Drosophila melanogaster: one gene and its partners. The protein of the gene in region 4 interacts with the protein of the main gene of each other region in a pairwise test. Each region holds a gene or a part of one and is shown on either strand. Other genes may lie near its edges.

Evidence for each region.
Region 1: the proteins of E(spl)mdelta-HLH (region 4) and sug interact in a two-hybrid assay, tested with the Drosophila melanogaster proteins (one large-scale study listed by BioGRID).
Region 2: the proteins of E(spl)mdelta-HLH (region 4) and Osi6 interact in a two-hybrid assay, tested with the Drosophila melanogaster proteins (one large-scale study listed by BioGRID).
Region 3: the proteins of E(spl)mdelta-HLH (region 4) and CG15269 interact in a two-hybrid assay, tested with the Drosophila melanogaster proteins (one large-scale study listed by BioGRID).

What each region holds. Positions count from the first base shown.
Region 1 is NT_033778.4:12,925,833-12,933,419, forward strand, and holds sug (sugarbabe), read left to right. Parts: upstream 1-3,027; 5' UTR 3,028-3,099; coding exon 3,100-3,509; intron 3,510-3,951; coding exon 3,952-4,696; 3' UTR 4,697-4,812; downstream 4,813-7,587. Other genes in the region: CG17019 (uncharacterized protein), read right to left, coding at 5,535-5,710, 5,770-5,909, 5,970-7,530. UniProt on the Drosophila melanogaster protein: Transcription factor which represses a set of lipase genes involved in fat catabolism.
Region 2 is NT_033777.3:6,231,797-6,239,649, forward strand, and holds Osi6 (osiris 6), read left to right. Parts: upstream 1-2,911; 5' UTR 2,912-2,939; coding exon 2,940-3,158; intron 3,159-3,786; coding exon 3,787-4,506; 3' UTR 4,507-5,385; downstream 5,386-7,853.
Region 3 is NT_033779.5:15,105,683-15,114,947, reverse strand, and holds CG15269 (uncharacterized protein), read right to left. Parts: upstream 5,544-9,265; 5' UTR 5,364-5,543; coding exon 4,422-5,363; intron 2,856-4,421; coding exon 2,034-2,855; 3' UTR 1,856-2,033; downstream 1-1,855. Other genes in the region: stc (shuttle craft), read right to left, coding at 1-648, 714-1,058.
Region 4 is NT_033777.3:25,994,077-26,000,481, reverse strand, and holds E(spl)mdelta-HLH (enhancer of split mdelta, helix-loop-helix), read right to left. Parts: upstream 2,862-6,405; 5' UTR 2,751-2,861; coding exon 2,229-2,750; 3' UTR 1,849-2,228; downstream 1-1,848. Other genes in the region: E(spl)mgamma-HLH (enhancer of split mgamma, helix-loop-helix), read right to left, coding at 1-539; CG43116 (uncharacterized protein), read left to right, coding at 3,590-3,729, 3,951-4,308. UniProt on the Drosophila melanogaster protein: Transcriptional repressor of genes that require a bHLH protein for their transcription. May serve as a transcriptional regulator of the Achaete-scute complex (AS-C) genes. Contributes to the neural-epidermal lineage decision during early neurogenesis.

The DNA of each region.
Region 1 (7,587 bases), on a different chromosome or scaffold from region 4:
AACGGGTATAAAAATAGAGCTTCAGCCGGAAGGTCTGCGCTCCGGGGTCTGTGGGCTCCCACGAATGTCTGGAATGTTTTTTTCCCCCGTTTTTTTTTTTCTGCTTTTGGTTTCCCCAGTTGCCTAATAACTTTTCCTTTTTGGCCATATCAAAAGCTGTCTGGCGATAAGCGCCCTATAAATAATAGATCCGAGTCGGCCGAATTCGAGCAGCCATCTGTAATTATCGGGTCGGAATGTGAGTGCGAGTAGTTGTGGCTTCCATGCCTCGGTTGCATGTCCCTGGCTTGGATGACTGGCTGGCCCGGCTGGCGGTACATGGACTTTGGAAGTCTATCGTTGGCGGCAACAAAGTAATTAGCCTTCTGCGGGACTACCATAGTCATATCAGCGCCCCCAGTGGGTTCCCACTGCAGCGATAAGCCGGCTGGACTACGCGTGGAACCTTCTCCGCGGCGGCTGCTGCTGCTATTTCTGCTGCTGCTGCTGCTGCTGCAAATGTGCATCTTGGCTGATAAACCCCTAGGTTCAGGCGCACGCCCACCGGTCAAGCTGGAGCGCGGAACGGAACGAAACGGTTCGGATCGAATAGAATCGAATCGGAGATCCCAATCCGAATCTGCTGCGAGGGCTTATCGGACCACCAGACCACCTTTGCCAGCCATCCAGACCCCTCCGGTTATCGGTCGAGTGTTGTTAATTTGATAGAAATATTGAACATCATTGCGCCCGACGGACTGCACCCTGCCATTCCGGTTCGATCCGGATCGCCGCCGAGTGTCTATACGCCTAGTTTGGTGCCGATTTGTTATTATTTACGCCGAGATTCGGACCACGGAAAATTAATAAGCGCACACGCTCAGCTCCCCAACGGGAGCTCGCGCCATACAAAGTTCACACAGCCAGTCAGAAAATCCGGATTTTTTTTACTCATTTTCTGCGCGGCTTTAATTGCCGGCAAGCGGCAAAAAACATAAAAATTAGGTTGCGCCTGGGGTCCTTCATCGCCTGTCTTCGATTTGGGGAGGCGATACGGACCCAAGGCCGTGCTTTTGGAAGATTCCGCTGAACTGACCTCGCCATGCGCGACTGTACCTCGGCTCGATTGTCCGGCGGAGCAGTTGTGGTCCGATTATGCCCCCTATCTATTTATAAATCATGATTCGCCATCTGGTGGGGGAACTGGACTGGAGTGGAATGGGTACGGGTACGGGGATGGGAATGGGAATGGGAATGGGTACTGCGATGTGCAATTGGCAATGAGTCCGCTTCCACGACCACAACCACGTTCGCCTCCACCTGTCGCACTGCTGATAGAGGGCAAGGGCTTATCAAAGTCCCTGATGTCAGGTTGTCTCTTTACGTAAGCCAGGGACCCCACTCGTTGGCCCGTGCACAGGGACGGATTACGTTGTGGGGATTGGTCGATTGGCGCTGGTGCTCTGCAGCGCCGGGGTAGAGCGAAGGTTGCTCCCCCAGTGATTCACGGGACCAGACAGCGCCTCCGCCGCGCTGATAACGACGATAGCTTTATGGCTGGCTGATAGCTGATTGCCATAGCCACCACCCAGCAGAGCGCAACTCCGCGTCCCGCCGAACCATTCGCGTCATGGCGCACCAAGTTTTCGGGCCAAAAGATATGGTACCATGGCGGCATGTGGCGGCGTTTGTTGACTTGGCGTGAGATAACCAACCACCACCACCTTATCGCCGTCCCAGACGCAGCGCCCACACACTGAGGTGAAACCGGCGGGCGAACCCAAGAATGAATTTCTGGGTTTTGGGATCGTACGCTTGCATATCAAACACATGTGGGGGAAGTTTAGTATTTCTGATAAAGTGATAAAATTATAAATGAGAATGTGTGTGGGGTTTCACAAAGCTCAAGCTAGAAAATATCACTTTTGTTTTCAGTGTACTCAAATCAAATTTAATAAAATTAGCGTGATTTCCTTATGCAACACATCAGTTGGGGTTTTATATCCATTATAAAGTTCGGAATTCAAGGAAGCTTCTAAGCTTTAACTTTATAAACAGCTATTAAGCTTAAAGTCTAATTTTAACTTTGTAATAATAAAACATATTGAGAAATTGAGAAATATATTACAGAATTGAAATTAAGTGGCTTCCACGAAAGTTTTTATCCATTTCCCTTCAGAGTATAGGAATCACATAACGATTCAAATTGTCTGCTTAAACTTTTGATTCTTTGTCTCAAAACTATAACTATTTACTTTTTAGTCACAAGCTCGAATATATAGTTAGGTCAGGAAAACAATTAATTGTTTTATTAATAAATCTATTTATGGAAATTATGCAAGGCGATCTTATAGTGGCCTCTTTGTAGATTCTAGAACTAGCCATTCTCAGGCAAAAGATCTAGATGCGTCTTCAGACGTATTAGTCCATTCGCTTTTCTCTGAGTGCACTAGTACGGCTCCAAGAGTTGACGTACCTGTTCCAATGAAGGGGTGCGATTCGGATCGGGAGTGGGACTCGGATCGGTACGCAGGGTGGGGTGCGGCAGGGAATTCGCTACGCGGTACGAAGTGCAAGTCAGGCAGGCAGGCAGGCAGACGGCACCGGGCGATAAGACTTGCCCCCCAAAGAGCGATCATCGGGCACACACATGTGCCTGTGTACATATGTGGACTGGCTGGCTGGCTGACTAGCTGGCTCTCCACTTGTGCGTTGATAAGCGGGCCCAGACCGTACCCTGGTCGCCCCCCAGTCACCCATCTGCGTCGCAGTCCATCCAGCACAGAGTTTCACTCACGTAGTGTGTGCTTTTGCCCCAGATCCATTTGCCCCAGCGGATTTTTTTCCACCGCTCCACCGCTACGCACCTGCTCCTCGGCGCTCCACTGTTTTGGTTCCGTCTGCCGCCGTCTGCTCCCCCTGCCCCTGCCACGCCCCCGCCGGACCCGTCTGCAGCCTTCGAAACTGATAAGCATACCCTGTCCGTCTGGGCGACCCCTTATCGCCGTCCAAGTTTCGCATATTACCCGAACCTCTGCAGGCGAGCGGCTCATTCGATCGGCAGGCGCTTTAGCGAAAGCAACAAATTTTCTCGATCAGCACCCACCACAGACAACAAACATGGATATAATACAAAAGTCAATCTTCAACAGCGGCCCACACAGCAGAGGCATCTACGAGCCGCCTCTCGGCTACTTTACGCCGTATAACACACCACCGTACATAGCCGCCTACTCGGATTCCGGCAGCTGGTTGGCGGATCACCACCAACACCACCAGCAGCAGCACCAGCAGCACCAGCAGCAGATGCAGCACATCAGGTTTCCCACGCCGCCCATCACACCGCCGCGTCCCATCGCCGGATACGGATATCGTCAGCGCACCCAGTCCGTGATCATGAAGGCTCGTGGCCAGCAGGACGAGCTCTGCCGCAGTCCAGTGGAGTTCCCCGACGACAGCAAGTCCTGCAGCAGCAGCAGCGAGTGCGGCACCGCCAGCGATTTCGTATGCAACTGGACAGATTGCGATAGGTAAGTGTCAACTGCATTACAGAATTATTGTGAAAATTTCAAAGAAATTTCCTAAAGGGGTCTCAGCACTTTCGTAATGTTTTTTAAAAACGAAAAAAAAACTCAGCATTATATTTTCTTTTGAATTTTGAGTTGCCAGAGAAAGACATTGAGTAGTTCTAGAAAAATATAAAACACAGTTCCCCCGCGTTTTACCATTGAAACTGATTACGCATTCGAAAGAAATAAAAAAAAAACCCCGGAGGCAGCCTGGCATTTGCTGAACTGTTGGACTCGACTTTTTGATAAACCCTCCAATAGCGATAATAATGTGATTTTGGGTCAAATTGATAGAGATGCAGTGTATTGTTTATGGTCAGCAAGTGTATTAATATTGGATAAGAAATCAATCCAGTACATGTTATTTTCGTACTAACCACTTATATCCCTTTGATCCTTGCAGAGTTTTCGACACCTTGGATGCACTGGCACAGCACGTGACCCAGCGACATGCGATCGCCAGCCTGACAGACGGACTCTACTATTGCCGCTGGCGGGGATGTCAGCGCAGCGAGCGAGGATTCAATGCCCGCTACAAGATGCTTGTCCATACCCGCACCCACACGAAGGAGAAGCCACATCGCTGTCACCTGTGCGAGAAGTCCTTCTCGCGGGCGGAGAACCTGAAGATCCACATTAGGTCACACTCGGGCGAGAAACCCTACAAGTGCAGCTTCGAGGGCTGCCAGAAGGCGTACTCGAACTCCTCGGATCGTTTCAAGCACACGCGCACCCATTCGATGGAGAAGCCGTACATGTGCAAAGTGGCCGGCTGCCAGAAGCGCTACACGGATCCGTCCTCGCTGCGAAAGCACGTCAAGACCTTCAAGCACAGCATCCACCTGATCGCCAGCCAGCCGCTCACTCTGCCCAGCGTACCCTGTCTCCTGGAGGCCAGCAGCGAATCAGCGTTCACGTGTCTTCCCGCTGCCAGCAGTGTGGAGTCCACCAGCTCCTCCTCATCCGCCCGCTACTACGATGACTCCAACAATGAGCCCAGCGATTACTCGCTAAAACCCAAACAGGATGCGGAATTCTCGCCCAGCTATTGGCTAGGCGATAGACAGCATAGCTATCTCCACAGCGAGGACTTCTTCGTTAAGATGGACGTGGAGTCACCGCTCGACCTGCGCATCCATCGAATCTGAACTGGCCAATCGGTTCGCCTCTCGTCTCTCTTCCCCTTCTAGTCATTGCGCTGTTTCCCAGCTCTTGTCACCACACCTAGATTACTATTTAACGTGATTAAAGACTGTTGTAATTGAACTGCTCTAGTTTGGCATGGTGGCATGGGAGTATCTTCGGGATTGATCTGATCTAGGTTCCTTCATAGTGGTTCTGGGCAAAAAGAGTATTTCAAAGATTTCGAAAAACCATAAGCTCAAGGTATGGGAAAATCCCCAGTTACAGGCGATTCGTCACAAAACTAGTGACCAATCTTAATCGACTTCGATTAGAATTTATGATCCAGACAACCTTTGTTTGGAGGAAAATCCCCATTTCGAATGGCTGGGCTAATAGAGCGCTAGATATTGGAAAATATTTATTGTTTAAATGCGCATCTAGACGAGTTTTTCACACAACTGTTAATAACAGATTTAATGTTTTTTTTTGCGGTTTATAGGAATGTTAGTTGATCTAGATAACCTCTCGTTTTTATACAAACAACAAGAACAAACAAAATAAATAGCAAAAGTATTTCACATTTGAAATAGATGAATACACTTTAAAAGCGATATCAGGTTTTACACTATATATAGGCATATATATATACTGGCAACATACTACAGAGAAGAACCAAATAATCAAATTAATATTATTGTTGCACTCGCGTCATTTAAGGAAACATATACGTTGTAGTCGCATCATCAGGATCTGCTGTACAACTTGTACAGCTGGGCTGGATCTGTATCTGTATGTAGCTTGTGGCGGCTATCGGCTTCCATCATTACACTATGTCCAGTTACCGTAAGATTAGCCGTATCATTACGCTCTAAAAAATCTTACAACTCGTACAATATATTGTCGGCAAATTGGGCACTCGTTCAACACTTTTCCACAGCTCGTGCAGGTGGCCATGTGTCCGCACTCTAGAAAAACGCACTCAATCGGCGCATCCATGCAGATCTTGCACAGCTCATCAGTGGCGAGTTTTTCAACAGCTGCGTAAATGGTTGAATCGTTATGAGGGTGAAATTGTAGTGCAAAGTCCAAAGCTCACCTGGACACTCGCGCATGGTTTTCCACAGTCTGCTGACGCGGTCGAGAAGCTCCTGCTTCTCGCAACATCCTTTGTAGTCGACGCGGTGCAGCATCAGCACCTCCTTCAACTGCTTCACTGTCAAACCCTCCAAGTCTTTTCTATAAATCAATAGAGAGGCATTAATCGATCATGAACATTCTAGAGAATAGAGCATTTACAAATCCTCAAAGTCTTCCAAATTGACAAATCGTGAGTCAATGCCGGCTGTCGGTTCGAAGTCCGATGGAGCGGCGTATACATGGATGCCCTCGTCATCGTCCCAGCGGATATCTTCGTCCTGCGTTGGCGAGAACTCAATTGTTGGCGTGATGGGCATGTCCGGTGATCTTCCACCAGCAGCCACACTGATAGCATCCACGCTGAGTGGCGACACCGCGTGGCTGTCCGCATCGGAGGCATCCACCGACTTGGTTCGCTGCTCCAGGTACGTGAGAAACTCCTGGAGCTCCCGTTTGATGTCCTCCTCGGACATTTGCGAGTTCTCCAGATGGCGTCGCATTTTCTCAACATGTCGACGAATGTTTGTCTTATTCTTACCGCAGCGCTGGCAGCTCTGGCGATGGGAGTGCGGATGCAAGCCGTGCTCTGGGTGTTCACTCAGCGTGGAAAGTCCCAGGCTTAGGCCAGGTCCACCTGGCGCCACAGGCGACTCGTCATCGCTGGAATGGTAGCGGCGATTCAAGTAACCATCGGATCGTCTTCGAGTCACTTTCTTTGTGCGCTGCGGTACGGCGGGATAGAACGCCGGACTTGGGTTGGCCGGGCGCTGATTTACGTTAAGTGCCTGAGTACTTTCGCCCATCTCACTATCATCACCCTCGACCGCCGGCCTGCTGCGCAATGTCACCTCTAATATCTCATCGGCGGCACTCGTGGTCGGCGTCTCTTCTACAGCTTCGATCCGGTTTACCTCCAGCACCTGCCACTGATCCAGGTGACTGCTGTTGGTGTCCGTGTTGGCCTTGCTCTCGTCTGAGATGCCACCAATGGCGCCCAGCTCCTCAAAACTTGACTGCGAGGAGGCATCTGCCTTGGAGCTGCTTGACCCCGGCTTGGAGCAGCCTGGACTAGGTGCTGTGTTCCCTGCAGGTCCATTATCTACGTTCGCCAGATCAACAGGACTGGGCTCTGCCGCAGCATTGACCCTCCGGCCACTGGTATCGGTTTTGAGTGAAATCGAAACACGCTCACTGAACGTGGCCATAATCTCTTCGTCTGAGCACTCGCAGTCGGACTTGCTTTGCGCGTCTTCCTGCTCTTCATTTCTCGCTTCCTGATGAGCCACATGGGCCTGGCTGCTGCTACTGGCATCGCGATTATTCGATGACTGCGTGGAAGTCGAGGGACTGCTGCTGCTTTGACTGCCACCATTGGTGGTTGTGGCTTGCTGTTGGACATGCACGTGTTGCGGTCCGCCGTTTACGGCACTGGCATAAGTGGGTATCTCACGCGTAGATACTCGCGGCTGCTCGAAGATGTGGGTGGGCACCTCGGGCTGCCTGCTCTCCGGCGGCTTTGTGGTAACTTTGGAATCGAACGAGGCTAGCGAATCACTTATGTTATCGCTTAGGTTGGAGAAGAAGTTTTGGCACGACTGTTTAAGGCTGTCGATGGGATTGGCCTGGCCCCGACCCGGACTATTGGAGGAGGCGTTTGAGCCTCGGCTCCTGTCAACCTGGGCCACATGGGTGAGAACCAGTCCTACAAGCTCCTCTTTCTCTGTGGGAAAAGTTGTATTAAGTTGTGTTTTTGCCAGAGGTTTCCCCATCCAGGGGA
Region 2 (7,853 bases), about 20 Mb from region 4:
GAGGCTTGTGACCAACTTTCTTAAGACATTAACTTTTTGTAGGCAAGTGCATAATTTAAACGAGTGAAAACGCAAGTTCAGAATTGGCCAGAGATGGATGGTCTTAGTTAGAAACGTTGTTATAAATATTATCCAATTTTAAGTTCCTTTTTAAAATTTAATCTAAATGAGCTATGAATTTTGTACTTCGATTCTTAAGAAGTTCCTCCAAAGGTTGCTCAAGTTTTTTTAATCAAGCCAAAAAGCAGCTTTCCTTTGTGTCTTGTTCAACTACATAGATAAACATAAATATAGCAACCGGAAGATAACTTACAGAAATTACCCCTTTGTGCTCTTTAGGGAGGTAAATACCCCGGCGATTTGGACGAAGGATTTATGAATTGCCTGCTATTCGGATAGCCGAAATTTAAAAAAAAAAAGTGGCGAAAAATCGAAAGCTGGGTTCTTTCATGGACAAAATATTGACCTCCACTGTTTCAGTCAGTTTCTGATGTAACATAATGTACAAGTTGTGCGTTGTTTTTTTTTTCAGAGCGGCTCAAGACACTTGCGATTTGTTTACCCAGCTCGGGGACAGTCATAAACAATAACAGCAACACCTCAAACACAACAGCAATATCGAGCAGCAGCAACAACATGCCAGTTCCAACTACGAGCGAAATTCATTCATAAAAGCTCACACACTGGACACTTGGACGGCTGCTTGTCGCATGAATGGCCAAGCCTGTTCGCCATGCTCTTGGCCATTGGCTGTTGGTCATTTGGTAGTTGGTATATGGTAGTTTGGGAGTTGGAAGTTGGCACATGCCAGTCGCCAGACAAATGGAGGCGTTCACGCTCGGCGCGTGAACCGACATAAGTTCGACCGTTAAGACGGATGTGCAACGGCATTCGAATTTGCATGGCTTTGCAGCTCCGAACCCATTTGCATCCGAATGTGTGCCGATTTATGGCGGTCGAAGGAAACGCAAAGCGGAATTCCAGCCTAAAGATCGCATCACTTGTTTTGATTTTCTCCTCTGGGGAGGCTGCACCCATTTCGACGTTGATGTTGCGTTACAAAATGCCTCACACTTTTACCACTGCACGCTTATTTCGATTGACGTCACACGGCCAACTGAAAGCCGATTTAATTGTGGTAGCAAATTACACATACGCCCCATCGCCCATCGACAATTTGGCGTCCATTATGCGGATGATTCAGGGGTTTCGTAAGTCGCACCGCACCAGATCCGTATGATAGTGTCGGATGTCGTCAGTCACATACATTCACCTTGAAACGGGAGCTCGGATCTTTCCAAGAAAGCTACCATCCATCCAAGCACACTGAGGAAAATCGTCATGATTTTATTTCGCCGAATTCAATCGATTTCTATATGGAATTTGAGTTTTAATTATGTATAGTAAAGGATCATTGGATCATTGATTGCAGATTCTAGCGTCGCGGACGCAGAATAAGTTTGTGTCATCTTTACTGTATAATGCCAATTTAATATGCTATTAAAAGCTTATCAGAACTTACTGTAATTCCATCAATTTACTTATTTTTGACAGCTTGATAAAACAAATCAAGTAAATTTCGCTAAAATACAGCAACTATGTGATGATTTCGCCAAGTGCAGTAGTCCATCATCTGTGGGTATCTGGCGTCTTGTGCGCATCCGTTTTTGTTTGCTTTTCGTGTAATTTCTCTTTCATTTCACTTGAGCAATTGAAGCGAGCTGTTATTTGCACTTTTGCTAAGCTCAAATTGTTGACTAATGTGTCACAATTGCCGAGTCAGGCCGTTCCTTATGATTATGCCCGCAGAGGTGTTTTCACCTGAGTACTCGAACTGCCCGAAGGAAAAGTCCCGAGTAGGACGTGCCTATCTGGCCCTAGATCCCGGCTCCCAGATATCCTGTTTCCAGACCCTGTCCTGGTTAAATAACTGTCATTATATATCACACTTTATGTTGCGCAATAAAAACAGAACCACAATAAAGTCACGAAAATAAAAAGTAATTTCAAGACGCGCACATGCGGTAAACATAACTATTTTCGGTGATACCGGGTCGACGGGGGGTATTAAACGGAGATGACATACAGACCAAGGGCCAGAAATAACAGTAGTATGAAAATATTATACAGACAACTTTCATTTCTTGCGGCAAAGTGCCCAAAAAACAAAAGCGTTCAAAAAATTAACAAAATCCAGAAGAATATATGACACATATTATGGCGGAGGGGGGGGGGGCTGGCCCGGCATCCACGGGTTAAGAGTCGGGGTGTGTGGAGGGTTAACCTGCGCAGCACCTGTTTATCACTTCATGTGTTGTAATCTGTGAGGCTCCAGAAGAAACTACACCTCTTTGTCTGCGTGCGTTTGTTCGAGGAGATGGGCAGAAGACTCTGCGGGAAGATGCGTCTTCAGGGGTCTCTTCGCTGTGTGTGTGTGTGATGCGCGCATGTGTATGAGTGTGTGGGGGAGAGAAGACGAACAACCTTGGCTTTGGCTCTCCGATGGAAACTTTCTCGTGCTCTCACATTCAACAGCCCTGCTGCCTGCGCTGACGTCGACCGAAGACGAAGAAGACTCGTCTTCGCATGCTCATGCGCAGCGACTTTCTTTAATGCGGAAGCAGACAAAGCTCTGCCTGCGCTTGCCTAATGCGGCTTCTAAGCTCGGAGGCTGCTGAGAAAGAGAGGCAGCGCTGCGGTCAGAAAGAGAGGGCAGCTGCCGTCTTCGCAGAGTCAAAATGCCAGAAAGAGCACGCAGACACGTGTGGAAGAGGGCTCAGGCTCTTCGGCGACGGAGACCCTAGCTGTATGTGTGGGCACCGGCGCTTTTTACATAATTTTACGTTATGCCGCTGCCGAGGCGACCGCTACGTTGGAAACTCTTTAAAAACAGCCTGACAGCGGCGAAAAGTTATCAAACCGCAGCTTGTTCCATTCGAATGAACACACCAGTGATTTCGGTGGTGCCAAAGGAATTCAGTCTCAGAAATCACCAATCCACCAACCCAGCCACCAGCATGAAGTTCTTCGTTGCCACCGCCTGCATCCTGCTCCTGGCAGCAGGTATCTCTGCCGATCCCGTCAAGGCCGCTGAGGAGCAGCCCGGCGCCTTTGCCCAGTGCCTCGAGTCCGACTCCATCTCGTGCCTGCAGCTCACGGTACGGATTATCTAGGCCCTAAGGATTATATACCCCTATTACAAAACGAAAGATCAAAGCACAATCGAGAACAATTGCAAAGATGCTTAACAGTGAAAGTGAAACCAAAAAATCAATAGATCACCGATTACGTGTTGTCCCATGTGATCTAAAGGATACTATTGAAGTGAAAGTGAAAAACAGTTTCTTTACAGCTTCCTGTCAAGCTGCAACTATTTCGCAATAATCAATTTTGAAAAGAGTGTGTAGTTTGCCAAACACAATTGACACCTGACAGGAAGATGTGAAAACAACATTACCACTTAAAAGTGTTTTTTAGACTTGCCAGCTGCTCTAAGCACATCTCTTTTATATTTCCGAGCTAAAAATATATCATCGAAATTCTATTCTAAAATTCTAAAATCTAAAAACAGTTGATAACAACAAATTTTCCCTTACTTGCAAACTAAGAAATTATTTTAAATTTCACTCACAACTAAATTCTTCCTTAGCCACTTATTTACATACACATGAAGTCATATAATTATAACAATCAATCAAACATATCCTCAATGACCAATATTTTAGACTTTAGATCACAGTTTATTACAGTTCGCTCTAATTCGAAACCCCACTACCTCCTCCACAGCTCTTCCGCAAGGCCAAGTCCGTGTTCGATAACCCTCAGATCGAGCTTTTCGGTGGTGTTTCTCTGGTGAAGTCCAATGAAGGTCGTCAGGGCAAGTCCCTGGACAACTCCCTGGCTGTTGAGGCCGCTCCCACCGTGGAGGCCCGCACCGCCGAGATGGGCAACTACTTCATGGACAACGCCAAGAGCTTCTTCGCTGAACGCTCCCTGAACTTCAACTTCGCTAACGCCGCTCGCAGCGTGGCCCGCGCCATTCCCGATGACATCAAGGCTGATCTCCGCGAGCTGGTTGTTGAGTCCCGTACCCGCAAGAAGAAGCTGCTGAAGAAGTTCCTGCCCATCCTGCTGGGAGTTGGTGCTAAGATCGCCGTCCTTGGAGTCGGCTCCATCTTCGGACTACTGTTCCTGGCCAAGAAGGCACTGGTTGTGTCTGTTATCGCCTTCTTCCTGGCTCTGGCTGCTGGTGCTTCCAGCGGACTGGGACGCATCGGTGGATCCGGAGGCGGCGGCGGTCTGCTCGGCGGTCTGGGAGGTCTCTTCGGCGGCAAGAACGCCGGTGGATCGTCGGCTGCCAGCACCGGTGGATGGTCCTCGGGTGGTGGTGCCTCCAGCGCCGGATGGTCCTCTGGCGGCAGCTCGGGTTGGGACACCCATGGTGCCTACAGCTCGCCTGTGGCCCAGACCATCGCCTACCAGGGATACAAGCAGGCCCGCCGGTAAACAATTGGTCAAGAGCCAAATTAACCGAAGGACGAAGGCCAAGGAGAGAGAGAGAAACAATCGCTAAAAATGATGACCTATATTTATATTTATTTATAAATTATTTATTTTAATTTATTACTTGAACGAGAAGTACGAGACGAACAAAGTGCCTTCCATTAGACAAAAAAACAATCACTTAATAACAAGACACACCCAAACACCAAACACCACCTTTCATCCAGAACCGCCAATAACCTCCACAAAGGAATCTTTACTACTTTCCGCACTCCTCACTCTTCACGCTGTATCTCAATTTCATGGCTGCACCTTTGATAAATGGACTGCAAATCTTTGCGACTAGTCGATCCATCAGTCAAAGCCAGTCGCCTCGCCCATCTAACTGTATCTATCTCTCATCTGTTTCCATCTATCTCTGTTCTACGACTATCTCTATCTGTACCTCTACCTTAATCTATCTACCTATCTGTCTATCCATATCTGTCTGACTATCTGGACTTTCTCACTTTACCGCCCGGGAAAGACCAACCGAATGCTGCTAAATCAAAGAATCAAATAATAATTCAAACATAAAAAATACTTTACCAACACGACTCTCTTTTCTCATCACCACACAATTTTCATTTCGGTTTGCATACGCAACTCGCCATCACAGCCCTCGACAGCATCACTCATACGCCGCGTTGTCTAGCAAAGCATTTGCACGTGGATGGCGCAACTTTCATTTCACTTTTACCCGCCTCATTCTTCCTGCTATCAGCCTCCAAAAATCGAACTCTTTATGGGGTTTCTAAATTTCACCCACTTATTTCACTTCCACTCTTCTGCTTCTGGTAAACTCCATTTTCACTGTGAACAAAGGCACATATGAACAAAGGCAATTTGCTGAAAAATAAAACAAACATTTAGCTACGCGCATTTCGGTTCATTCAAGGCGGGGCACCATCGTATTGTATTTTAATATTTCTCCACCTGACGGAGCCCCATTGTTAGGCGACGCTTAGCACCTTTTGGCCCAAAGAAAGTTGTAAACGCCGTCGAAATGGGCCCGGCTCAATTGAGCCTAAGTAACTGAACTGAAATGAACTGAACTGAACTGCAGTTGCCGGTTGGCAGAACGGCACTTTACAGCCGCTGATGGCTGATGGGCCGATAGGTGCTTTACTTATGAATATGACCCACTTTGGGGGCTGGCTCATGGATGCTGTGCACATTGACTGCCTATTGGCTTTCTTCGTGCACAAATACGTCAGCAATTAATGTGTCGCCGAATGGCTTAAAAGCACTTTTCTATGATCATTGGGGCCGGTTGGTTGGCGTTTCGTTGTTTGATTTGCTTGCTCAGCACACAACTGCTTGGTTCTGCTTCTACCGCAGTTTACAACTTCATTTCGGGCCCAATCGTGGACTCTTCTCACTCTTCTTTTTGAATTGTTTTGCTAAGTGAAATTCCTAAGTAGTTCTCCATTGAAGGTGTCACGCTTTAAATCAATAGCTATTGTCCAGACGCACTCGTAGGAACACGCAAAGTCATTCCCGGTGATTGTGGAGGCAGTGAAAACAGACACTCCCAAGTCATTGAAAACACGGTCATTCCCGAACACAATCGTGTCACAAATGGGCTGTTGCTCAGAAAAAGGGAAAGTGCATGGCGCCTTGTGAGAAACCATTTGGGAAATGAAACTATTCCCCTGAACTGAGTTCTACGAAATGCATATTTATTCAAAGTGGGAAGTACCATAATGAATCATTTGTCCTCTTTTTTTTTTCTTTAAGTAATAATAACAGAATCCTTGAAGCATAGAATTAGAAACATGTCCTTACACAATTATGTTTTTTTATGTTTATATCTTTTCTAAAATCTATTTTTAATGAAATGCTTCAACAGATTCCATTTCCAACCAATTTCTTCGGCAACGTACAAAAACCAACTTTTTAAAATTTTATTTGCCAAATCCACTAAAAGACAGGATTTTATTGGAAGCCCCCGTACCACAGCCGAACGCAGCAAAGTACCTTGGAGTGCTTCTGGATCGCAGACTCACATTTCCCAAGCATGTGACTGACATCAGAACACGCCTACGTGCTAAGTTGGCGAAGCACTACTGGCTACTTTGTTCGCGCAGTAAATTGTCGCTATCCAACAAGCTGACGATTCTGGAAGTCTGGGTACCACATCTGGGGCTTGGCATGCGACAGCCAAATAAAAAGGATCCAGGCTATTCAAAATAAGGTAGCAAGACTCATCACCGGCTGCGAGTGGTTTGTGCGAAGCACCACACTACCACCCTTAACAGATCTCGCCCACCAAGGAGGCTCAATAGAAGGCAACCAAGGGATCTCATTTCCCGATCTCCTTTGACAAGGGTCAGCAGAAGCTGACGCTTATCAAAAAACCTATTTGTTATATGTGTTTGTTATGTACTGTATTATTATTGTAAACTAGAAAAAGCTAACTATAGATAGCCGCCGCGCTCAAATGGGCAGAATTAATAGAAAAGAAGGACACAAAGGGGCTCCAAGATTTCCCCGTATGCCTTAATAAATTAATTAATTAATACTGACAAAAAAAAAAATTAAACCATGACTACTCTCATATTTCGATCAACAAATAAAATAAATAGTTCGTTTTATTTGAAAACGCTTAAATCAGCTGGGTAAAACTGATGAAAGCCATGACTCCACCAAGCTGATAAGCCCGATGGCTACGAATCTTATATTCCTTTCATCTTTATTTTATTATATAAATACTATACGTTCATGAATGGAGTGAAAGACTTTTTGAAGTCTACTTTACAGCAACAAATATGAAATTATTTCGCATAAGGTCTCTTATATTTTACTAGCCTATTTTTCAGCGAAAAAGAAACTTATGTGAATGGTCACAACTTTAAAGTATTCGGCTGAGAACACAGGGCTTTCAATAAGAGATTTACTGGACTTTCTTTACAGACTTGAATCCAAAGCTGCGATCGAAAGCCTTTCTTATTTGTACTTAAAGCTTGGCGAAGAAAGTTTACAAAAAAGACTTTCTGACGGAGTTTTAAACCAACAACCGCTCAACATATTTAGATCGATATTATTGTCACATTTTTACTTTATAGTAAATTTTAAATGCTCGAACGTTGCGAAGCTTAACATTAAAAAGGCCAAAATTTTAACATTTAATAAATAAAAATCTGTGAATAAAGAAAATCCATTTACATTTTTTAGTTATTTTGTCGGCCAAAAATGTATGTTTTTCATAATTAAAAAAGTTGTGGTTGTTTATTTTTTTTTTTTTTTTTGAGGGGGAATATGGCGAGAAACACATCAGACCCAAAATTCAGTGCGAGCTCAGAAAAGCA
Region 3 (9,265 bases), on a different chromosome or scaffold from region 4:
GTCAACGGCCCTGGGAAAGCCGTTGATGCGGTCCCTGTTGCGATTCCAGTCATCCCTGCGTTTGTTGCTGCGATGATTGTCGTAGCGTTGCTGCTTCTGCGGCCTCCTACGATCGCTTCTTTCGTACCGGTCCTCCCGATCGTCCCGATAGTCGGAGCGGCGTTGTTGTCGCGTATTTCCGGGTCTAGAGTCCCTGTCCCTGTCCCGGTCTCTGTCCCGGTCTCTGTCCCTGTCTCTGTCCCGGTCTCTTTCCCTGTCCCGGTCCCGGTCACGTTCCCGCTCACGCTCCCGTTCGTAATTATGGTTCGAGCATTGGTTGTTAGCTCCTCGTTCAGCTGGTTCTTGGGCTCGCAGAGTCCTAGGTCTCGTCTCATTTATGGCAGTCTCTAGGCTGGCAGTGCTGTTTCCGTTCGTAGTGGCGGCTGCCGGTGTCTCTTCTAGACTCAGCTTGGCGAAATTGGGCACGAATTCCGGAGCCGAGGCCTGCAGCTTGGAAGCGCTGAAGTCAAACGGATTATTGCCAAAAGGTGTGTAAAAACTCGAAAAATTGCTGTTGCTCGGATTGACCGACCCATAGCTGCTGGTGACGGTGACTCTAGCGATGCCATCGCCATTTTGATAGGTTGGGATCATGGCCTGCGAGTAAAACTGTTTTGTGATTTATTAGTTGATTCATTAGGACTAAACCTAAGTTCTAATATATCGAAACATACATTCGGAGATTGATGACTCACATTTGCAAAGTGGCTGGTACTCGCGGATGCCACTGGTGGGTTCAGTCCAAAGGCTCCTCCACCGCCGCCCAGGGAGAAGTTAGTGTAGCTGCTGCCCACCGGATGTTGCATAGTGCTGGTGGCATTCGAGGGCGCTCCTCCACCCAGATTGTGCTGCATAATGAACTGATTGAAGTTCACGTAATTGTTGTTGCTGTGCCTGTTGCAGGAACCACCCACTGCCGCCGATTCGTGACCTCCGTTGCAGTCTGCCATGGCGGATGACTCATTGCCGGGTCCCGCTTCTCCGGCGCCGTTGGTCAACTGCTGCCAGTACTCAGCCATTGAGAGTCCGGTGCTGTCGTTGGTGACCAGCGTCTGTTGCAGTTGCGCCTGCTTCTTTGCCGGAACAATCTCGAACTGCCCGCCGTCCTCTGCTGGGCATTTCCCAGCGCTACCACGGGATCGTCCGCAATCCGAGGAGGAGGTGACCGAACCCAGGAAAAGCTCCAGACACGTGTGCAATGGTGAAATTGAGCCCAATGCAGAAGTTAACCGAATCGAATTCTCAGTTCGATCGAATTTGGTAAAGGCTTTCTACGGCCAACTGGACGCACCGCAGCCTGGGTCCGCAGGCACGTTTTACTGATTTTTTTGCGCTTTTCCTGCGTTTTTTATGCTCGCTTATATTGTAAATTTCTAACAAAATTTCACAACACGGTCATACCAGACGAAACGGTACCACTGACAATTGCCTTGACTTATCGATATATTAACAGACTTTCGATTTTTGAGGGGAAAAGGGCTGCCAACTCGGTTTTAGGACAGCTGTGAATACAATTTAACAGCAAGATTTCGTTTAGTTACTCAACACACCTACAGTGGTAATAAACTATCAGGTGGCGCCATCTGGCTGAGTGAGAGCGCACTTTTAAATATGTTAAATGTACTGCAACGGTTCGTTCATTTGTTTACTAAAAAAACATACATCTTTTAATTTTTGTCACTAGAAGATTTGAATTAAATAAGGCTGCGTTATCTGATTATAAGCGAAATTACCTAGTTGGACTCCCAATCATATCTCCAATCCAAAATATTATTTCTAGAATCCTGGAATCCTTTTGTATTTGATATTATACTTTATTGACTGGCCAATATATATGCCTATTTTAATAATAATTAATGTCTATTCCTAATTTAATTTCTAGCAAAATTATTGCTTGAAAATAAATGTAAATTGAATAACAACAGTGGAAGTACTGCACTTTGTAATTGCCACAAATTTGGTTGAAACTGGCCGGGCACAACGATTCCACCCATTTAGAATGTCCTGAGATTGCTGAGAAGGGTTTGCTGACTCGGCGGTTGGGATGGACCAGATCCAGGTGTTAGAACTCCAGGAGGTGGCGGCATTTGAAATGTTTGAGCCATGGCCATGGCCAAAGTGGGCGGTGGACCTGTTTGTTGTTTTCCCGGTACTGGAAGTGCGGATGATGTGACCGTGAGTCCATCCAACGGACGGTACTGACACTTCTTAGCGTGGGTTCGCATATTGCTCGACTGGGTGAATGCCTGATTGCAGTTGGGATGTGGGCAGACATACGGCTTGCAGCCTGTATGGTAATTCAGATGCGTCTTTAGGTGATGCTTTTTGGTGAAGGCTTTGGGGCACAGGGGGCAGCTGAAGGGCTTGATTCCCGAGTGGAGGCGATGGTGCAGGGTCATGTTGCTGCGATCGGCAAAGGACTTGCCGCACACGGAGCACTGATACGGTTTCTCACCACTGTGCGTCCTCATGTGCTGTTTGAGCAGCATTTTACGCGAAAATCTCTTTCCGCACTCGTTGCATTTGTGGGGTTTCACGCCGGTATGAATCCGGACATGCATATTGAAGGCCACACGCTGATTGAACGATTTGGGACAGTAAGGACACTCGTACTCCTTCCGGTTCCGGTGAATCTTTAGGTGACTGCTCAAATATCCCTTATCGTTGAATGTCTTGCCACATTCGGGACACTCGGCGGCAAACTCCTTGGTTCCTCGGTGAACGGACAGGTGATATTTGTAATTTCGCAGCTGGGAGAAACCCTTTCCACAATCCGCACACTCGTAACGCGGCGATTTGTGCGTCTTTTCATGAGCCTGAAATAAGAACATAATAGACAAATAAGATAAATAAATAAGATACATTAGCTTAGCAATAGTAATATTGTAGCAATAGTAAGAGATTTAAAATTTTAATAAAAAACCTGAGGTAGTGAAAATCTGTTGTGAAATTCATAAAACAGCGATTTTCTACAAACTGTTCGTTAGTTAGTTAGTTTTTGGAAGGGAGGCTTTCAAGATGAGTATGTTTAGCAACATTTTAATTAGGTCCTAATATTAATACCTTATTCTATAAGTTCTAGTGAGGATTGGAAGATTTCGAATATAAAGTTACTGAAAACTGAGCTTTGGACACATTTATACTTATACAAAATAAGCCAGAAATGCAAAAAATACCATGGTTACACATTCGAATGTTCCCCATTGTTTGTAATAATTTTGTTGCAACTTCAAATGTGGCTTGCTTCAGTTAGCTACTGAAATTGGTGTTCTTTCCCAAAGTGGCCATTTTGTGATTACCTCTCGCTCGGCGTCTGGCCCTTTCTAACGTATCTTGTAGCTGCACCCATGCGTAAAACCAGTTCTCTCTTTTTTGCCCGCTTCTGTTTCTGTTTTCGGCCGACTCCATTTTGAACTCGGATTGCTTGCGAGATTTGCATAAGGCACTCAATTCTTCGCTGCCTCTCTCTTCCCCACTCCACTTGAATCTCCACTCTTTTCTTCGGAGCTCCGCCTTCCAATTAGACTACTGTTTCTCTGTTTTTTAGGCCCCGCCCAAATCCATATGGTATCTCTGTTGGTGAAGAAACCCGTTTTGGGAGGATCTCGTGTGGATGTGGACTTTGAGGACCGGCCAAACGATATCTTATGTGATGTATGGCCATGTGAAAGGTTAATGCTGTTCTTGGCTTAGATGTTTTGAAAGGAGTTAAATTCCTAAAGTTATTTAATGGCTTTGCAATAATAATTCTCAATCATTTAGTACTCCGCATAAACACATATTTCTTTGTGATAAATGTATACGTAACCGTTGATGAGATCTAAATCATTAATTTTTTTGTTACTTATAATTAAAAAAAAAAATACGCGTGCATTTGCCAAATGCTTGTGTGTAAGTACAAACTCTTTAAGTGACTTTACGTATAAGTTTGATTGTGCTATTTAATTTATAAGAAAATTTCATACAATCGTTCATTTCGTTTCGCTTTTTTTATAACTAAACAGCAGCAAACTGAAATAAAATATAATCTGGCAAATCTAAATCATTTCATTCTTAAATTCTAATTGGGAATTGCATATATTTTTTGAATATTTGTATTTCATTTTTTAAAAGTTGAAGGTCTAATGAAATAAAAAAAATTAAAATTCTGTCTACACTATAAATATAAAAATTTGTTTCGTGGGTGTTTTGTGTTTACTCGTTTTTGAGGGATTTTAAGAATAAATTGAATCCTTGGGTTAGAGTTTGGAATATATTTAGGATGAATTATCTTTTCTAAAGCTAATAACTGATAACTAAACGCTTTGGTTGTCATAAATGATATATACTTGTAAACAGAACACCATCGTAATAATAATTTAATAACAATAATAAAATCTCACCTGCAGAGTTTCAGAGCATCCGAATACCTTCTCGCAAATCCGGCACTTGTAGCTGATCTCCTCGGCGGATGTGGCATTGTATCCACCGATACCACCGATTGCTCCACTGTTGCTGCCGACGGCTGTGGTGATCAGTCCACCGGTCATCTTGGGCATCATTCCGACGGCCGTTGCCTGGACCGAGTTCAGACTCAGATTGGTCACGGTGGTCAGTGAGATGTTAGTGCTGGCGGCTCCTCCAGTGGCACTCATAATCAGATCCCTCACAGGACGTATTGATCCGGTGGAACTGCTCACCGAGGAGGCGGCGGGTGAGATGAGAGGTGCGGTCTGCTTATAGCCACCAGTCTGCAATCTTTGGTAATAATCCAGGCACTCCGGGCAATCCGGACGAGTGCATGCGGTGCTTTTGGTGCGTATGAGAGGTTGCTGTTGCTGCTGCAGTGGTGGTGGTGGGGGAACCGATCCATTGATCACATAGGGAGCAAAGAAGCGTTTCTGCTGATTTGGCAAATGCTGCTGATGCTGATGTGTTTGATAGGGCGACGTAGGAGGAGTACTCAAGCCGGCAGCCGCTGCAGCAGCCGCATAGGCGGGCAGTAAGTGCGGGAAGAATTGGGCATAGAACTTGGTGGCATTGGCCATGGCCACCAAATCTGGCGGCAACATGGAGTAGGCACCGGAGGCATAAGGAGTTGATGGTATTGCCAGCCCTCCAAGAGCCTGTGGGCTCCTAATACTGTTGCTACTGCTCTTGGATAGATCCAGGATATTCGTGCTCGTATCCTGAGCGGATTTACGCTCCTTGCCCAGAATCTTACTGATGCTAAAGTCAGTGACTTGAGCCGGTGGCAACTGTGCCCCAGCTCCCAAGTTCTGGACTCCATTGGTGGGTGAAGTACGCGCCGGCGAGGGCGAAAGGTCGTAACTGCGCTGCAGCATGGCGTGCTTGAAACCCATTCTTCTCCACACCGAAGAATCACTCATAGACCGCAGGCGTTACCGTTTCGGATGACTATTTTCTGAGGCGTAGGCGCTTTTTAGCCCGGGGAACTGTCGCGTTACGCGTCGAAACACGAAATGTCTTGGCCTCACAGCCCACAGCAGCCGTCATCGTCTTTTGGCCGGGCCTAAAGCCTGGCTTACGCTCCCGCTCTCGAATTTAATTGGTCGAGAAACAGGTTTGACCGTACAGGTCGGTCTCGCTCCGTATCTCTCTCTCTCATAGACCGGGAGTCTCTTCTCCAATTAACCAGGTTTGACTGCTGGAGACAAACTGTCGCGCCTCCAATTACGAGAGGAGCTGCAATCTGCAGACCCAGAACCATTTGCTAGTAGCGTTCTACTAGTCACATCTATCATAAACCTTATCGCTCCTTTCAGATCGCTCTCCGTGCACTACTCTCTTTCATTTTTTTTATCCACTGGACCTCTCTGATAAAGTGACTAAGATTTCGTTTTGGCCGCGTTGTTTTTGTAATTAATTGCGGTAATAAAATGTGCGCATCGTTAAATTTTCAAAATGTATTTCTCTTGTTCCTCATCCACACACACACATTCTCATCCCCGTCCACATTCACATCCTCGCTGATTCCGAATCCGATTCCCAGGCATGTGTGAATCTTACGGTTATGCGCATGCGCAGCGATCATCTCTTGAGGTGACTTGGTTCGTCACGGCTCTGCAGTCTTAGCCATGTGTGAGTGTGGGAAGGAATTGAAGCTAGGGACTAGATGACATAACCGTCAAACGATCGTCAAAATGGTGTATAGGAAATCAGGTATTTTTCTTGCGAATTTAAAAAGGGTTGTTAACGGTTCATGATTGACCACACTGGCCAAAAAACTTAACGTAAGCCCAAAAGGTCTAAATAATCATATATGGATGATTATGACACCCTCTTGAAATATTTTAGTAATTAAGGACGTGCTGTGCCATTAAAGTAAAGTAAAGAATTTTTAAGAAACAACAATTTGAACCCAAATATTTTTCCATAAATTTATTAAAAAATAGCCTATGCCAATTAAGGGTGCCCTACAAATACCTCTTTCTGAAGCATTTAAGCTTGATCCACTACATTTAGTTGCCATCCAAGAGGGACTGTGACCACTTCCTCGACTTGCATAGCATCAGTAGCGGCCATAAAAATGTGCAAAACAAAATGCTCCTCAAGTGATTTGTGATTGGATGAAACGCGCATAAATAACATGGTATCCAGGCCGAGGATTCGGAGGATCCATACACAGGTGAAGTAAAATGGTGACACACCACGCGAATTCAAGGAAGCTGCAGATACAAATGAAGTGGTATACATTTACAGCTACATGGAATGAGATCCGGTGAAATGGAGTTGATATTCTGACTCACAAGGATTGGAGGATTGAAAGTCTCTGTTTTCTAATTGCCAATTGCCGCATAGAGAGACTCTAATGCGCAAGGCACAATCTTGCACACGATTTGTCCACGATCACTTACAAAACGATCTTATCAGGATTACCTGGCGGAGAAGCCCCTTCAAATCCTCCGCGCTAGCCAACTACCGATCCTCTTGCCAGTGATTAATAATGGTTTGACTGTCAACACGCGCTGCTCGCTTTGGTTGACCACGATCTGCATAAATTTTGATTAAACAGGCTATTCATTATAATTATACATATGAGGACCGGGCGAACACCACAAAACTTGTTCAACCTTAGTTGAAAAACTCTTTTTCGTATTTCGTTTTTTTTTTTCAGTTCGGTTGGCATTTCGTGGAATTCCGCCAGATAATTTACATATGCGAAGCGAAGGAAACTTAAGTTTTAATTACACTCACTAAATCATCGGGCCTCTGCAGCAGACTCCAGGAGACTTTGTTTTGTCGCATGACTAATGTTTATTAGCTGCTAATGGTTTGTTTTACAAAAGCTACGTGGCTGCCCCATGCGAAGTCCCTCCATTGCCAGCTCCATCTCCATCCGTAGCATCCCATCGCAACGCATCCAGGTGACTCGCATGAACGCTCCAAAACTGTTTCACCCGTTGACATTTTGACAAATTTCCAACTCCTTACTACCGTCGTCGTTTTGGGGCCGTCTCCAATGTAAGCTGATACCTATCTCAGATGCCCAGATCCCCATCTCCATCTCCATCTCCTCGATCTTCCCCATGGTTCTTCTTCTTTGTTCACACTATTAATTTTCCGCTCGTTATTGTCGGGATTGTGCGTTGTGGTTCAGTCGACTGGTTCCCCCTCATTGGGGTGGTCGGCATTTATCTTATTTTGTGTGCGTTTAAAACTTCTTTGTGAAACTCTTTAATGTCATGTGTTATCGGTTAATGATCAGCCGCGTTGCCAAGTGATTTTCTGTCAGCGGGTGATCAACTTTGCCTGGGATTTCCCCACCGAACTCCGATCTTCACCGCCGGTTCGGGTTTGTCCTCCTTACGGATTCCGTTTAATTTCCTTAGTTGCGTGGACCTTTGGTTTTATTCGCTGATGGGGCTTTGGATCGTTGGATTGTTTGGACCTTCTCGTCTGCGCCTTGTTATGTGTAGCTTGACAAATGTGTTGATTTGCCAAGTTTATTTCCAGCGATGGTGGGTCCAACATTTTGGCAATAAGATTGAACGACCTTTTTGGACTTTCTGATCTTTCAAGGCGAACTAAAAGCAACAAAAATATAAAGTTCTGAATTTCCAGGTAACACGTTTTGGCCATGAAATGTATTTGAGTTAAATTGAATACAGTAATTACAAAAATGATCATTTTAAATTATTTAGAGCTATGTATAACATAAAGAAAAAATGTTTAAAATAATGATGACAAAATAGTTTTATTCGCTTTACTTTCAAAACTAATCGGAAAACTTGAAAGTGCTTAGAAATGGTTCAAAATTTGCATGCAAATTCTACAGAAACGCCCACCTCCCAATTCCCAAACTTATGTATTTGTCAGGCCTTGGCAATAAAACTAAAACAGGGCTCTAACAACAGCATTTAGGAGGTGTTATACTATTGTCTAGCCGCGATATAATTTATATGGATGGAATAAAAGTTCGCTGAAAACGAGACAGAGACAAAGGAGAGTAGAGCGCGAACAAAGCGATATTCGTAAATTATATATGCACGTCCATATATGTATGTACATATGTATATACGGATCCAAAGTGGCTAAACTATATAGGTATGTATGTTTGTGCATATGAATAAACGAGGCGTATGGCTCGGCAATGTTGTAGATCACAATCATTTCAATTAATTCGAATATAAAATACGAAGTGGAGACGGCGGCTTTTGCAAAATGAACAGCGTGCGCTCGTATATATCAAATTTCAATATAAATGAGCTACAAACATAAATCAAGGGGGGAGGCCCTTCGACCCTCTCGATCCCCTTGCCATATATTGAATCCCCCATGGACCCCCCACATTGAAAAACACACGAAAGTGATGAAACAAACACGCCCGAAATCGTTTGACTTTTAATGCATCCTATAAACAGATAATACAGCCCCCAGAAAAAAAAAAAAACAAACAAACCCAAATTTAATGGACTGACGAATAGCTGTCAACGTCTTTGAAGGGAACTTTCTTTGCTGTTAAAATGTAATTTATTTTATTTTTACAACAATTCAAACGAAAACAAACAAGTAGACGGCGCGAGCGAGAGGGGGATGGCGGCAAAAAGTGAGCGGGAGGGCGATACTAAACATTTAATCGGACGTTAATTATGTTAATGAAAACACATTTCGAATGCAAGAATTAAAATCAAATTTTTCAATTTAAATTCGATCGCATCGCATGGACCATTTTTATTCGAAAACACATTTCATTGGAATCCCATGGGTGAGCGAGACGGCTACT
Region 4 (6,405 bases):
TGGCTGGTCGAACTGGTATTGGAGTTGGGACTGCCGGCGTAGCTGGAGATTGGCGAAATGGGCACGGAGTAGGCATCCCGATTGGCGATGTGCACGGAGAGTGGAGCGGTCACCGGCAAGACTTCCTTTTCTGCTGGCTGGATCTGATTGAGGCGCTGTCCCAGGTGGGTCATTAGCTGAGTGCCTAGGCTGACATTCATGCCGGGCAGCTGGGAGAGTGAACGGGAGACCTCATTGACGGCATGGATGTAGCCGGAACGGAAGCCCTCCGCCGGAGTCAAGCTCTCATCGCCGGAAGCCCGCTTGTGCTGACGCTGCTGCTTCATCTTTTGCAAATGGGTGACGGTAAGTTCCAGGATATCGGCTTTCTCCAAACGGGTGACGTGCTCGCCCTCGGACTCCAAGGTGGCAACCATAAGATCCTTTAGCTCGTCCAGGCACTTGTTGATTCTGGCACGACGCTTCCTCTCCAGCATGGGCTTCATCACCTTGCGGTACTGATAGGTCTTGGACATCTCGGACATTTGTAGCGACGACATTTTGTGTGTTTCTTATTGTTCTTTTTGTAGTTTCGATGTAAGCTGAGTTCTTTGAGCTCTTGCTGCTCCGACAGTCGAAGTCGTTGTGTGTTGCTAGACCTTCGGTGATCGGCCTTATATAGCTGGCCAGAAACAACCCCCAAAAAATGGGCCAAAGGGATCGTCGTCGTCGTCGTGTGTGCTGGCATTCGAGGAGCAAAAGGGACGGGGACACGCTTCGTGTGCTGGCATGAGGGTTGCTCGGTACCGACCCTTCCGCTTCTTGAGACCGCTCCTTATTGTTCGGGCGATTTCTTATTGTTGGCCCCGGCACCCTTATCAAACGGGCCAGGGAGCAGGATCGCTGCCAGGATCGTGGGAAACACTTTCCTACTCGGTTTCTCACATCGACTCGCTCACCTGCCCGCAAAAAGCAGCCGAGCATGGCCACGGCCATGGGCATGGGAATTTGCAGAGCGAACAGCTGCCGTTTCTAGATTTGTGTGTTATGATTTGACTATGGCATGGCAGGGTGAGGGGCATAAGGATAATGAACTGCTTGCATTATGCCATCTCATCGGGGTCCTCCGGGGTTCCCACGATAGCGGGGACCTCCGCCGGGGGATGGGGATAAGGATAAGGACGAGGCGTTGCGATTCCTCGACAACTTCCTGTTTACCGTTGGCATTCCAAATTGGATCGGGTTCGTGTTTGGTGGCAGAGGAAGGGACAAGGACAGAGGCATCCTGCACTTGTTGGTCGGCTGTTATGATCCTGTGGGAACATTGCTCGTGTGCGTCGAGTGCGCTTAATGCGTGTACGACTTCCCGATCCCCCCGACCCGGCAGGACCTCTGCCTCTCCCTCCATCCGCCATGTAAAAGGGGCCAGCGATGCTGATCCTGGAGCGCTGCTCGCGTGTGGCTCGCTGTGGACACACTTTCGGCTGTAAGTTGCTCGCGTTCCAGGACCTTTGTAATGGATGGATGGTTGGATGGGTGGTGCATTACAGGGATTTGTAAACGGAGTGGGGAGAGTTCAATTGACTTGAATTCAAGTGGACAGTATAACGGTATTTGGTATTTAGAATTATAAATTATTAAAATTCCAAGGAAAATATATATTTTCTATATATTTCAAATTAGATTTTAGAAATATATTTAAATATATCTGATATATCTTTTATATCGAAGAAAGCTAAATAAGAGCTTATAAATTATAATTATAATATAATAATTATATATATTATAACATTTTGTACCTATGTACCTATGGATTATAGCAACCTTGTTTATGTTCATATTCCAAATAATATAAAGCTTTTAAAATTTCAGTTTACGTTCATTTTATTATTCAAATGTTCATGGCTTATACTTAATGGTGTAAAGCGAAAAATATAATTTTAAAACATACACAAAAATTTGTTCTTAATGAGGCTAAGTGGAAGCTCGGTGGGGAAGCTCTTGCAAAGTTGATGAAATAAATTACAATGAATTAAATACATGAATCAGTAAGCCTATGGGAGATCAAATACAAAATACGAACTTAAGAACTATCACAGGAACATCACATCATATCAAATCAACTACCAACTAAATACGATTCTGAGGCAAATGTTTACACTAGACCTTGGAAAACTTGGATTGTTTCTTAATGAAACTGAGTAGTAAAGCTATCAATGTTAATTGGTTGCGTATATATGGAATGCCCTTCACCAGGGGCGCCAGACTTCTTCGCCATGATGAATATCCTCTTCTCGCGGAGACTTTGAACGTTTTTGGTCGGCTAGATTAACTGGTTCTTCGGCCATATCGATGATTTCTTCTTCCTGTTTCATGTCCTTGAGCTGGTGACCCAATTGCTTCATCAGGTGGGTGCCGAATTTGAGATCCAAGCCGGGAACCGTAGAGAATATGTGCGAGACCTCGTAGGCAGCCTGGGTGTATCCGGCCCGAAATTTGTCCAGGTTAACTTGGTCGGGTGGTGGGGATTGAGGATTGGCCACTCGCTGCTGCTGTTGCGCTTTCAGATAGTTGACGGTGAGCTCTAAGATGTCAGCTTTCTCCAGCTTGCTGACCTGTTCGCCCTGCGCATCCATGGTGTCCACGATGAGATCCTTGAGTTCGTCCAGATACAGGTTCATCCGGGCGCGTCTTTTGCGCTCCAGGAGGGGTTTGGTCACCTTGCGGTAATGCTGAGTCTTGGTCATAAATCTCTGACCCTGAACGGCCATTGTGTATAATGGGTTTTGATTTGGTGTGGTGATTGTTTGTAAATAAAGTTGCGATGTTGCGATGTCGCTGCTGCCGCTCCGCACTGCACGGTAGTCACTTGAGAAATGATCTTGCCGCAAGGTAAGCTGATCCTTTTTGTAGCTGCTGGTGCCGTACACTTGCGAAATCGAAATCCTCCCCTAACTGCCACCACGCACTGCGATCACAACGCTCCTACACGCCGACGATCACAACGAAGCATCAATCGGGTCACTCTCTGCTTGTGGCAAGATTCCCTCGGCGTTGCACGTGTGCAACATCAAAAAAATTGGATCGGGCGGAAGCCGCTGAGGCTCTCTTCTTGCACTGAAAACAATCCATATGTGGCAGAGAACAATTTTTAAAATCTATACTTTATATAAACTACTTTTAAAATATACAAGTTTCGAAGCATACTCTTTGGATGTCCATTCTGGAAACCAAAGTTTCTCATGCATCTAAAGTATCTTACAACGATAAGTATAAACAAAGAAAAAATAGTTTTATTGTACTTTAGAAACTTTTATATATTTAGAAATTAATTTATTTTTAATCAAAGCTTCTTTAACCTTGGTCATAATAGTAGAATGCCTTAAAGTTATTTTCAGTGTATTGACTAGGGTCCAATAACACGTTCTTCGGATCTTCGCCCGAGCTAGTAGCGCGCTCTCTTCGGGCGTCTCTCTTCCTCGTGCTGTTGCCGTGCGCCGGCGCAACAGTCTGAAGAAGGGTCTCCGAGGAAGAGCAGGAGGAAAGAGTCGGAGCAATCAACCACCACCACCAGCAGCGCACCACACGCACACACGACATCAGCAGCGACATGACCTCGACCTGCCTGGCAGCCATCCGTGCTCCCTGGTTCCCACTTCCCTCGAGAAAAGAGAGCCGAGCCCCATGCGTGCCGTCCTCACTTAAGCCAAAGAGCCAATCTTGTCGAGGCAATGCCATTGTTGCATATGGGTGTGGGTTTCTGCTTGTATGCGTGCAGGTGCACTGGAAAAAATGTTGTTTTGTAAACTGAAATATAATATTCAGAAATATGCAAAATGTGCATAAATAATATATTAAATTCTGTAACTAAACTATAATTTGCATTACTTTGCTTTAAAAGCAATGCAATCCCGAAGTCTTTATAAGCCATCTTTATAAGTTGCTAGTTTAGAGTTCGAATTTTCTTGCAGTGTGGCCTCTTCCCTTTTGGCGCACAGTCACACAGACCTCATTTCCTCTTTGGCGCGACATTGCGTTACACTTACGGGCACGGAGCACCATCATCAGCAGCAGAAGCAGCAGCAGCAACCACCGCAACAACCACCACCACCAACGGGACGGCAGCATAGCACCACCCAGGCAAGCGGCAAACAGCCGGTGCTGCGATGGGTCGGTCGGTGCATGTGCATCGTGAGAAAGTGTACTGGAGACATTCCCACAAGTATTGGGATTGTGCCGCACTTCTGCTGCCGGTTGCCCGGTTCCTCGGCCTCGGTCAGCTGTGACACTTGTTTGGCGCATTTTGCGAGATTGGGTATTCGGGGATAGGGCCATTGACGAAATCCACCTGCCCGAGGGTGAGTTCCAGTTCAAATCCAAGACCAGGGGTCGCTGCAATCGCAGCCATGAAATCGAGAAGTTAACAAACAGTGCAGCAAGGCACCGGCGACATTTGCTGACATCTGATGGCACTGATTTCGTACATTTCGTTTCCAGTTTTCTTCGTGGGGGAGGTTTCTGAGATCATCAGAGTGGCAATGTTTTGATATGGGTATTGGGACGACTTAAGGAAGACAGCCATATGCAAAAACAGGGATTTCAATTGCGCCAATTTCCATGAGGGAAAGATTTTAAGAGAGAGATTTCAATCTGTTGACAATGATGAATCATCCTACTTTTGAAAGTAGAAGAGGAGGATCAAGGATCATAAAACAAAAATTAAGAATCGTTCCGAATTTTAATCTTTCCCAATAAAAGAATCGTTCCGATACTCAATAAACATTTTAATTGAAAGTATATTCATTTGTTCGATATTGTTGTACATTGATAAATTTGGGACATTAACATTTCATAAATATCTTCAAGTGGCTGTAATTTACAAAGATACATATTCGTTTAATACACATATAGCAACACACACATATACATTTAGATTAATAATAATGTATAGAATCCAGTTCCATTTTTGCGCATCTAGTTTAAAAAAATGTTCTTGTTTAATGCGGATAACGCCAAATACAGTTTAAAATCCATGTGCTAGAAAGTAAGTGTAACGGACTAATTTGCTTCGTTTATTGTTTAATAAGAGGTACAAATGTGTAACGTTCGTAAGTTTTTATTTTGGTTCGATTCATTTCGCTTATCATTTCTATTTCGATTAAAATCTTTGTTGTGCTTAAAACTAAATTATATTTAAAGCGGACTGGGTCGTTTTAAGCTTATTATCGATTAGTTTTTGGTGTTTCGGAAATTTCTTGGAAAATGTGCTGATGAAATAAATTAGTAAGGACTAATGAGAGAGGTGAACTTGGTTTAAAAGTAAAATTATATAGAATAAAAAAAAAAAATAAATGCCATCAGATACATTTGCTGCGGGGAGATTCATCTATAATACAAAGTAATGCAAACGACATGTGCAACATGCCGTCTTCTTAAAGCTTTAAGTTATTCTTGTTCTTGTATTCGTTTCGTTTGATTTTGCCTTTAATCGCTTTCATGGTTAACTCCGTTTCGCCTGGTCGCGGTCATCCTTTGAGGAACTGGTGGACTTGGTGTGCCTAGTTGCAGTTGTGGGTTGCAAGCATTAAAATGTACAATCGGTAATCGTTTAAAAATATTTCCATTCGATATCTTCTTCTACGGTGCTTATAGTATCCTCGATCCACTCCCTTCTACACATACAAATATATACATTCTGTTTACATACATCAATACACGCGTTCATTTCCTTCTTTCGCATTCAGTGGTCATCGCTTCTGGACATTCTATACATACATACATACATATATATATAAATATTCTATGATTTTGTACGACATTCTGTGGGGGTTTTCACGTTCTCTAAAAGCACTTTTTAAGCAGATTTAGGAAACGCATTACTTTTGCGATAAGTGTGGTACGTCTAGTGCGCGGGTTTGTAGTTGTTATTCATGCAGCTGAAAGTAAGACAAAACTTGCATAAACATATCGAGGGAAGAACAAATTGGGGCGAAAGGATATTTGGGGCAAAGAAGCAGTGAAGATTATTCAATTTACTTAGACTTACTTCAATTATCTATTGGCTCGTATAAAATATAGTTGTCAATGAAAATATATAAAATCTTGATGTATTTTCTGTGCCTAGTAATTGTTTTTAGCTAAATTAGCAGCTACCGATAACTAAAGGTTCTCAGCTATTTTAACTTGCATTAGTTTTATATACTCTTGGCATGCATTTATCAGAAATATATTTTGGGTCTTTGTTTTAATTTAGCTATCGTGAATTATTTTTTTTTTGACTGTGTGTTTTAATTTTTGAACAACAAATATTTATGACAACACTACTCTACGCTACAAAAGGTGCTTTCAATTCACCTACATTATGTCGAAAATATGTTGTAAATGCTTCAAGGTACCAGATTTATCATCAATATAATTCTCAAATCT